Xenopus tropicalis: one gene and its partners. The protein of the gene in region 3 purifies or fractionates together with the protein of the main gene of each other region. This does not show direct contact. Links are inferred from orthologs where the notes say so. Each region holds a gene or a part of one and is shown on either strand. Other genes may lie near its edges. The genes, in order: asap1, tjp2 and arhgap12.

Evidence for each region.
Region 1: the proteins of arhgap12 (region 3) and asap1 purify together in Homo sapiens (co-immunoprecipitation; 3 studies listed by BioGRID and IntAct, with this or other methods). This does not show direct contact. The link is inferred for Xenopus tropicalis from reciprocal best matches to the Homo sapiens genes ARHGAP12 and ASAP1.
Region 2: the proteins of arhgap12 (region 3) and tjp2 purify together in Homo sapiens (co-immunoprecipitation; 3 studies listed by BioGRID and IntAct, with this or other methods). This does not show direct contact. The link is inferred for Xenopus tropicalis from reciprocal best matches to the Homo sapiens genes ARHGAP12 and TJP2.

Annotation. Positions count from the first base shown.
Region 1 is NC_030682.2:142,094,776-142,098,435, reverse strand, and holds part of asap1 (arf-GAP with SH3 domain, ANK repeat and PH domain-containing protein 1), read left to right. Parts: intron 1-495; coding exon 496-544; intron 545-2,983; coding exon 2,984-3,147; intron 3,148-3,660. UniProt on the Homo sapiens protein: Possesses phosphatidylinositol 4,5-bisphosphate-dependent GTPase-activating protein activity for ARF1 (ADP ribosylation factor 1) and ARF5 and a lesser activity towards ARF6.
Region 2 is NC_030677.2:129,452,723-129,456,382, forward strand, and holds part of tjp2 (tight junction protein ZO-2), read left to right. Parts: intron 1-884; coding exon 885-970; intron 971-3,099; coding exon 3,100-3,265; 3' UTR 3,266-3,660. UniProt on the Homo sapiens protein: Plays a role in tight junctions and adherens junctions. Acts as a positive regulator of RANKL-induced osteoclast differentiation, potentially via mediating downstream transcriptional activity.
Region 3 is NC_030682.2:23,100,621-23,103,285, forward strand, and holds the end of arhgap12 (rho GTPase-activating protein 12), read left to right. Parts: intron 1-154; coding exon 155-289; intron 290-545; coding exon 546-648; intron 649-1,368; coding exon 1,369-1,543; 3' UTR 1,544-2,008; downstream 2,009-2,665. UniProt on the Homo sapiens protein: GTPase activator for the Rho-type GTPases by converting them to an inactive GDP-bound state.

The DNA of each region.
Region 1 (3,660 bases), about 120 Mb from region 3:
AGCAACGACCACATCAATGAGCCAATGCGGTCCCTGATCCGCATGAAAATCTCATCTGTCCAATAGACATCTGGCCAATCTTTTGGCAGATATTGGTCGATGAGGCCTGTTAGAGGGTCCCATACAGTGGCAGATAAGCTGCCGAGTCGGTTTAAATTGTAATTAAAAATCTGAGCTGTCAATCGTATATTGCAATATATGACTGACAGCTCAGATTTTTAAATACATTTATAACAGGTATGGATGATTTAATTAAAAAAAGGATTTGGGTTTTATGTTTAATTTTGACTTTGTGACAGGTTCCCTTTAATGAGGCAAAGGAACGTATCTTTGGTTATTTTAAAATACCTAATTATATCTTCATCTAATTTATCTCACAGTTTGTTTGTTTTTTAGTTTGCTTATATTTCATTCTTACAAATTTCATAATAAATGTCTCTGCTTTACCAATTGGTACTTATATATTATTTTTTTTTATCTTGTTTTCCTTTGCAGACAACAGAACATACCACTTCCAAGCAGAGGACGAACAAGAATACATTGCGTAAGTGAAAGACTTACATGTGCATCCCAGGCAGATAGGGGTGCAGGGAGTTTCAGTTCATAGTCACAGAGGTGCTGTAATGTCTCCTTGAGAATTGGAGTTTACACAGTATAAAGGGAGTTTCATTGAGTCATAAAGTACAATTTATTTAGTTTACACAGTATAAAGGGAGTTTCAGTGAGTCATAAAATACCATTTATTTTCATTGTGTTATCATGAAAGGAATGCAGCAATAGGCATTTATTTAATGCAGGAACGTGTTTTGCATTCCTCGGGGTATAGTCATTTCATGGTCAATACCTAAATCTCAGCCACCCCAAAGCTGAATGTGCCTGTTTATTGCTCGTAGGCTCAACCGAGGGGTCATTGTACCATCCCCACAGATTAGTGCCACCACTTTCCTCTCATGTTATACAGGTATCAGATCCCTTATCTGGAAACCCATTATCCAGAAAGTTCCGAATTACGGATAATAATAAAACAGTACCTGTACTTTATCCCAACTAAGATATAATTACCCCTTATTGGGGGCAGAACAGCCCTATTGGGTTTATTTAATGGTTAAATGATTCCCTTTTCTCTGTAATAATAAAACAGTACCTGTACTTGATCCCAACTAAGATATAATTACCCCTATAATTACCCAGTCTTATTGTATGTATGTATGTATAACTTTATTTATAAAGCGCCACAAGGGTACGCAGCGCTGTACAGTCTTACAGAATACAAAATTACACACAGGGAGGACAAGTGATATAATAAATAAATACAATAAATACATATATGTAAACATATATATATATATATATAAGTGCCATGTGGTATGAGACACAGTAGGAAGGAGGTCCCTGCCCCGTAGAGCTTACAATCTGAGTGGTTGGGTAACATACAGGCACAAACTGGAAGGTAAGAGTGCATCAGGTATGGGCATTTGCCCTTAAGCGCAGGACTGGGCAAAATAATGTTTTAGTGCTCCAGAAGGTAACAGCTGAGTTTTTTCTTAAAGAGAGTGGGTGAGTTTTCCCTACGGAGGGATTCAGGGATAGAGTTCCAGAGGTAAGGAGCAGCGAGATAGAAAGGTTTAAGCTGAGAGAGCGCAGTGGGTGTGGATGGTGTAAAAAGACGGAGGCTCTGACGAGCGGAGAGGAGGAGACGACCAGGAACATGTAGGGAGACCAGTGAAGTAATGTAGTGAGGAGCAGAGGAGTGAAGGGCTTTGAATGTCAGCAGAAGGATTTTGTAAGCTATCCTTTGCTTGACAGGCAGCCATGCTAATGAGCTTAATTGAGGCCGAGCAGGATCCCTCTTAGGAGAGAGCAGGAGGATCCTGGCAACAGAGTTTAAGATTGATTGCAGGGGAGAGAGGTGGGAGTCTGGGAGGCCGGTTAGTAGGAGATTGCAGTTATCTAAGCGGGAAAGGATAAGGGCATGTATTAGTGTTTTAGCTGTTGCTTGTGAAAGAAAGGGGCGTATCTTGGCAATATTGCGGAGGAAAAAGCGGCAGGTTTTGGCAGTGTTATTAATATGGTTAGAGAAGGAGAGGGACTGGTCAAAGATAACCCCAAGGCAGCGTGCAGAATTTACAGGGTTGATGGTCATGCCATCAATAGTAATGGTGAAAGGAGGAGGAGGGCCAGGTTTGGGTGGGAAGACCATGAGCTCTGTTTTAGCTAGGTTAAGTTTGAGCTGGCGTCGGTTCATCCAGGAGGAGATAGCCAGGAGGCAGTTACCAATCTGGGTTTGGACATCAGCAGTTAGTGCAGGGGGGTCTAAGTATATCTGGATGTCATCTGCATATAGGTGGTATTTAAGACCTAAAGAAGAAATAAGGTCTCCTAGAGAGAGAGTGTACAGGGAGAACAGCAGGGGACCAAGCACAGAGCCCTGAGGCACCCCCACACTAAGCGGAACCGGGGTAGAGGATTTGTTAGTAAGAGCGACAGAGAAGGAGCGGTTAGAGAGATAGGAAGAGAACCAGGATGCTGCCTGATCCCGGATACCCAGAGAATAGAGAGTTTGCATAAGAATAGAATGGTCGACAGTATCAAAAGCAGAGGAAAGGTCTAGGAGAATGAGGACCGAGTAGCATCCTTTGGCCTTGGCAGTCTGTACATGAGAGCTGCCATACTGGGTTATTATGGGAACGTTACCATTCTTGCTTGCTGTTACCAAGCAGTACTGTACCTTCCAGTACAACACAGTAGCCTGAAAACATGTAGTCCCTCTATTCATATTTCTGTCAAACAACTGCCTGGTTGCTAGGTTAAATCAGACCATAGCAACCAGACAGCATCCAAGATATTATAATAGTAATAATTCAATAGCTGGATTTAATAATTCAAAAAATGTAATTTAAAAAAGTTACTTAGAGTTTTTTTCATAAAGTTTCATCTGTACCCTGTTCTAATATTAACATAACAGTGTGTTCTTCTGTAACAGGTGGATATCAGTTCTGACAAATAGCAAAGAAGATGCACTCAATATGGCTTTCCGGGGAGACCAGAGCACTGGCGAGAGCAGCCTGGAGGATCTGACTAAGGCCATTATAGACGATGTACAGAAAACGCCTGGAAATGAAGTTTGCTGTGATTGTGGGTCACCGGGTATGTAGCTTTGTGGTATTACACATGCACTAAGTGGGTTGTTTATGCTCAGCTTACTTAGTATTATGTAGATGGGTACAACCGAAAGGGTCACACAGGGAAGCTTGATAACGTCACATAATACTGCGACCCCTTCATTTTTCATAGGGATGCACCAAATCCAGTATTTTTTGGATTCAGACGAATATCTGAAAAAGCCAGAATCTTGGCCAAATCAAGAACTGAATGCTAGATTCGGTGCAAATTTTTTATTTTTGATGGTTTTTTAATTATTTGCCTTCTTCTGACTCTTTCCACCTTTCAAATGGAGGTCACTGACCCCTGGCGTCCAAAAAACGTTTGCTCTGTGAGGCTACAATTTTTTTGTCATTGTTACTTTGTATTACTTCTCTTTCTATATAGGCCCTCCTCTATTCATATTCCAGCCTCTCTTTCAAACCACTGCCTGGTTGTTAGGTGAAATTGGACCATAGCAACCAGATAGCTGCTGAAATTCTAAACTAGAGAGCTGCC
Region 2 (3,660 bases), on a different chromosome or scaffold from region 3:
AGTATTATACGTTGTGATTATACAAGGTGATTACAAAATGTTTCAATTTGACTTTTGTTCTGTGTATTTGGGCAATATTTCTTGCTTTATTTAATGTGTGCTCTAAGGTCTCTCAATTGACTTTCACATGCACCACTATTCAAAAATTGCAATTTGTTTAAAAAAATAGGGTACACTGTTTATGGTGGGTGAAAGCTGTTGTAATGTAGAATGGTGTTGCTGTCTCTTGCTTTACAGAATAATTTAGATCTGTCTGTCCTCTTCCAAATCTCTGCGGCATCCAAAATTTATACTTTGTCGCAACCCTCCGATAAATGTACAGGAGTGTCCAGTCCATTGATATCTCTAACCATTTCAGTTAGAAAATGGTGACTGCCTTGCCAAATTGTAAATGTTGTCTGTGTACCAATAATAAATGAAAATGTTGGAATTATACTTTGGTAAAATATATTTATTCCCGTAGACTGCCATAACCGTTGCACAAACAGCTGCTCTGATGGTCTCCTCTGTTTTTGCATAAAATACTAATTCTCAAAACTATTATATTTTAAAGTTAATTCCTGTAATTTACAAATTAGGTCTTATGGGGGACGACCATAACATGTCAAGGCGTCAAAGTACTGGTGTACGTGAGACGTGTTTTTGTTGATGGTATTATACACTAAAGTATTTCAAATATAGTGTTTATAGCTGCCATGTAATTTACAACTGTGGAAGAGAGACATGAAAGAGAGAAAAAGGTAATGTGTTTTAGCAGCACTTAATCAGACCAATAGTTATGGAATGATCCAGGTTTAGATAAGAACAAAACAACTAAAATAACTTGATTGCACCATGACCAAAAAATACAACTGACTATATTGCCTTTTATTATTATTATTTAGTTGGAGCTCGCCCAGAAACTTCCTGATATTTATGCTGTGCCAGTAAAGCCACAGAAAAATGAACAGAATCGACCACAGCCGACAAGGTACAAATTAATTCATTTTATCAGCAGTATGTATCAATTGCACATATAATGCTGCTTGTTTAAAGTGCATGAATAGCAGTACTTTATGTTGTAGGTAATGTGGCACATTATCTCTTTAATTTAACAAAAATGTATTGAGCATTATGGAATAAAGATCCAAAATTCCCCAACTGTAAAATATATAATTTTAAAATTAAATTAGTATGGTGGCTCTATTCAATTTACTGCATCATTATACCGTAGCACAATTGTATTACAGTACTAGTTCGGTCATGTCACCAGAAGTGATTTAGCGTTTTTCTACCATGTTCCATAGTTTCTAGTTATTGATTTGTTTAATTCTTAGATGCATTAATGCCTGTGTGGAGGCCATCAAATGTAGGTGTTCTAGTAACCAGGCAGAACAGATTTAAATCAGACTTTCTAAAATCACCTCTGCCTCTTGGCTTTACCAGCACCCCCTCAAACAAACATAACTCTTTGTGCAGTATTTTTTTTTTTTTTTTTTTTGGGCAGTTGGGCATTGGATTTAAGTCAAAGGGTGGTGGCAGAGCAGAGAGGAATCTAATCATGAAAGCCGTGGGATGAAGTATCATTAAAATGTCCACCCAAAAAAAATTTTTTTGTTGGCATATTGATGAAACGTTAGTATATTAAAAGGAAGGGATTGTAAAATAGTGAAATATACAAGTACAATGGAAGTGCAAATGATCTGGCCATGTATGTTTGCCAGATTACAAACATACAAAAGAGTGGGGTTTAATCAATGCACATTCCCTGGCCCTGTTTTATAAATAATTTGTATCTATGGAATTTTAGAAAAATGGGTTTTTAGTTACAAAGTTATGATCATAAAATTGACAAGCCACCATACCAGGTCAAGGTAAACCCAATATGGTGGTCTTTACCTCTGGTAACAGTAGCATTTCTTGGGAAAAGTGTCTCCTGACCAGAGCGTTGGTTAGTCACAGAGCTTAAGGTAGTCGTGCACAGCCAGGTTTAAGCTGCCGATTTATGTCCTTTAGACCAATTTGGCAGCTTATCTGCCATGTACGGGACCCCCTGATGGGCCTCCCTGATCGATATCTGGCTGAAAATCATCTAGGTGTTGATTGGGTAGGCTAATCTTAAAGAAGAACTATGCCGCCACCCCCCCCCCCCTCCAGGTACAACATCCCTCTTAACAGCCCTGCATCGACCCTCCTCACCTCACCCTTTTTGCATAGCCTATAAGTTTAAAAAGTGGCCCTATAAAAAAAAAAACCAAGCTAAACCAGCAGAGCAGTGCAGCAGTGTACCTAGGCGCCATCTTCCATTCATTAGAAAATGTTTCTGGTCACACTACCGACACGCTTGAGCATGCAAGGTTAGGGCCGATTCCCGGTTAGCCCCCACTGTGCATGCTTCTGTAGGGTTCATGTCGGCAGTAAGACCCAAAACATTTTCTAATAAACTGAAGATGGCGCCCAGGTATGCTGCTGTGCTGTTCTGCCTTTTTAAGCTTGGGTTTCTCTATAGGGTCTTTTTTCAAAGTTATAGGCAATGAGAGACTGCAGAGGAGAGGAGGGTCGATGCAGGGCAGTTAGGGGGGCTTTTGTACCTGGGGGGAGTTTAATTGTAATTACATTTACTAATATCACTTTGGTGGGCATCGCCTTTAATAAGAGCAAGAATGCAGGAATCTAAAGAATGACTAATTATAATAGATAGCAGAAACATTTTCTAGGTTGTATGGTACTTAATGGCAGTCCAGCTGAGGTATTCAGGAAGTTGAGGCATGTCAAGTTACCACTTTAACCTTTATTTGTATAGCAGATGGTTGGATATGATAGAAAGATGTATAATATGGATATCTGTAATAGATAATAAGTGTTGCTTAGATAGAAAATATAAAAACACTATATAGTAATGATGTGATAAAGGAGTTCCAAGTAGTCTTTAATGTTTTCTTGTAGTTTAAAGCATATTTGATATTTTGTTAGTGCTGCTGCTAAATGTATGAGTACCTGAGTAACACCACAGGAAATTAGTTGTTGTAGGTCAAACTACACTAGTCCATATTGCATGTGATGTGGTATCAAGAAAAAAACCTTATTAAATTATTTTCAATTTTTTTATTCCATATATAGTTCTCGCCCACCAGAGCCTCAAAAACCACCTTCCAGAACCTACCAAGATAACAGAGCGAGTTATGGGAGCGATGAGGAGGAAGAAGAATATCGGCGTCAGCTGGCTGACCAATCAAAGCGTGGATATTATTCCCAGCCTTCAAAATACAGAGATACAGAGTTGTGAAAATACTGCAGACTACACTTTGGACTTCACTGCAGAGGTGATTAATGGAACAGACTACTTATGTGTGGGCTGATACTGTAAAGTCTTATAGACTGCGTATATATCAGGAAATCACATGTAACATGGTAGTATACATCTCAATTTTTGTTGACACGTTGGAGATATGTGGAAATGTTTTCATTATACAGACATTGGAGTTATTCCTTATGCTAAACTGAAAATACTCAACATTCAGAAAATGTGTAAACAGAGTTAGACTGCCTTCTGTGAGCTTTTCTCAGTCTGCTCATTCATATAATGCTGGGGAAATATAAGCCAATATTCCCAAACAAACTGATGCAATTGAAAGTGGTTATGGTGGATGTAGTTACTTTTATGCATGGACGTGACATTCC
Region 3 (2,665 bases):
TTCTAGTTGAACTATTGTAATAAAACTGGTGGCAACATGTTTATCTACCCTTGCTTGCTGTCCGCTTCCATTTAATTATCAAAATAAAAAGCACTCGTACTGTATTGTATGATCACATACCTGCCTAATGTTGTCTTCTTGGATTACATTCTAGATGAGAAACTGGACTTGAATGACAGCAAATGGGAAGATATTCACGTCATTACAGGGGCCCTGAAGATGTTCTTTAGAGAACTACCTGAGCCGCTCTTCACCTTCAGCCACTTCAATGACTTTGTGAATGCCATTAGTAAGTGTCCACTTAATGTTGCTGGCATATAACCTCTGTTATACACGTCTGAGCTGCAATTTCTAATCTATTTTGTGTTTTTGTGCCACGGAGAGTGGTGCCGTTGAGTGTTTATTGAGGGCAAGACCCAGAAATGAGTACATAATGCATGTATGAATGGTTCTGGCAGTGGCAGTACTTTCCCACTTGAGGGCACTGCCTGTTAAAGTATAAGACCTATGCATACACAATTCATAGAAGGCAACTTCTTTTCCAGAACAAGAGCCCAAGCTGCGTGTGCAAGCAATCAAAGACTTGATTAAACAGTTGCCAAAGCCAAACCATGACACTATGCAGGCACTTTTCAAGCATCTCAAGAAGTAAGTGTCTTGTTCAATTTAGTAAACATATATATTTCTAAATATCAGTCTATATAATGCTGTACTTACACAGCACACAGCCGATGTTATATCTATCTATTTATCTCCGTAATGGTCATTGCCCTTCAGTGGATTTTATATTGATGCATTTGTCTGCTTTAATTTTAAATTACAGTCCATTTGGGCTGCAGTCGTATTGGTCAGGTACCAAGCAGCAGCATTGGACTGAAGGGTCTGGGGCCCACCAAGGCTATCACCTTAGGGGCCCCTCCACCCCAGTCAAGAACCATCCCCCCCTCCTCCCCCCAGTGTGGCCTGCAGTGCTGCACTTCATTTGCTGGCCCCCTGCTGTCAGTGAGCTGTAAAATTGGGAATGGAGGGTAGGAGCTCTTGTGCCTGCATGTTCTTTTTCCTACACAACCTTTCTTACTGCTCCTTTTCTCACTGAAGTCTAAGTCCTGGTAGAGCCGCACAGGGATTGGATGGGTGACGTTTGAATTCCCCCCCCCCCCCCCAGCCTTTCTAATCCCCATGCGGCTTTATTGGGACTTGTTAGAGAAAAGAACATGCAGACACTCACCGTCCTCACTTCTGAAATCTGCAGCTCCCTGACAGGCAGGGGGGCCTAGTTAGCAGCACGGCCAGGTCCCCCTAACACTCAAAAACCCACCAGACCCGGGACTGTGAGAAGTAATTTTCTCTATGCTTTGGCCTCTGTAGGGTTGTTGAAACTGGAGAAAAAAACAGAATGACTTATCAAAGTTTAGCAATAGTTTTTGGACCAACCCTGCTGAAACCGGAATCAGAGACTGGTAATATCGCCATCCACACAGTATACCAGAACCAGATAGTGGAACTCATCCTACTGGAATGCAACTCTATTTTTGGCCGCTGAGTCCAATGGTGAACGACAAGCAGGAAGCAACCACTGATAGGCCATATCCTTGGGAAGGATCCAGCTGTGCCGTTTCATTTCTCATCTCTGAATTTTATTTTGTGGACCAATGAGCTGATGGGAAACTTTTTTTTTTTGTCTCCTGCACTTTTTTTTTTTTAAGATGGTGACTGTGTCTCATTTGTACATATTTTTAACCTGTTGCCAGGTTATTGTATTTGGACGGTTTTTTTTTTTTTACTGTGTGTGCGCACATGATAATTCCCTAGCAGGACTGCAAACCTAATGTAGACACTGGATTTACTGGAAACAAAATAAAGCTACTAATTTCATTCTGTACAAACGGACTTCTACTCACTCTTGGAAGCCGAGCTTGGTTCGCTGTGTGGTAACAGATGATGTTCATTTCATTTTTGTTCATGCCTCTAAACAAACTCCTCGTGCAGTAAAATCCATCTGACATTATACTTTGTTGGTTGAGTTAATGATAACCCTTCTTGGTTGACTTGCTTAGACCAGGACCACATGGGCGGCTAGGTCACCCAGCATCATAACCAGCTCTGTCTGGGAGCTACATTGCATTAGCTACTGGGGCACGAATGGGGCACCCCATAAGGGCTCATAGCTATTGACTGTACCACTCAATATAGCAAAACAGTCAACACTCATCTGAATAATGTCCAGCAAGAATGGGCATTAGCAGTTCAGCCAATAAGAATGGCTTAGACAGTGGCACTTCCAGTGTTGTCCAGAGATTACCTTGGATAACACTTGCCCACAGCCGTAGGGCAACTCAAGAGAAGCTCAGGAACGATTCATAGTGATTGACTATCCAACCAAATATAGAAGTACTTTTGTAACTCATAAGGATAATGTCCAGCAACAGTGTACATTGCCAGTTTAGCCAATGAGTATGGCCCTTCCAGTGTTGTCTAGATAGTGTCTTGAATGACACTTGTCTGCCCACAGCCATAGGGCAACCCAATAGGAAGGAAGGCTTCTAGCAAGTGACCTCATTATCCAGATGAGTGAAGACTATGCTGCTGTATTCAGTAATGTCCAGCAACAATGGGCACTTCAGCATTCCCTTGAGTGTCACTTGGAAAATGGCAGTTCTGATGT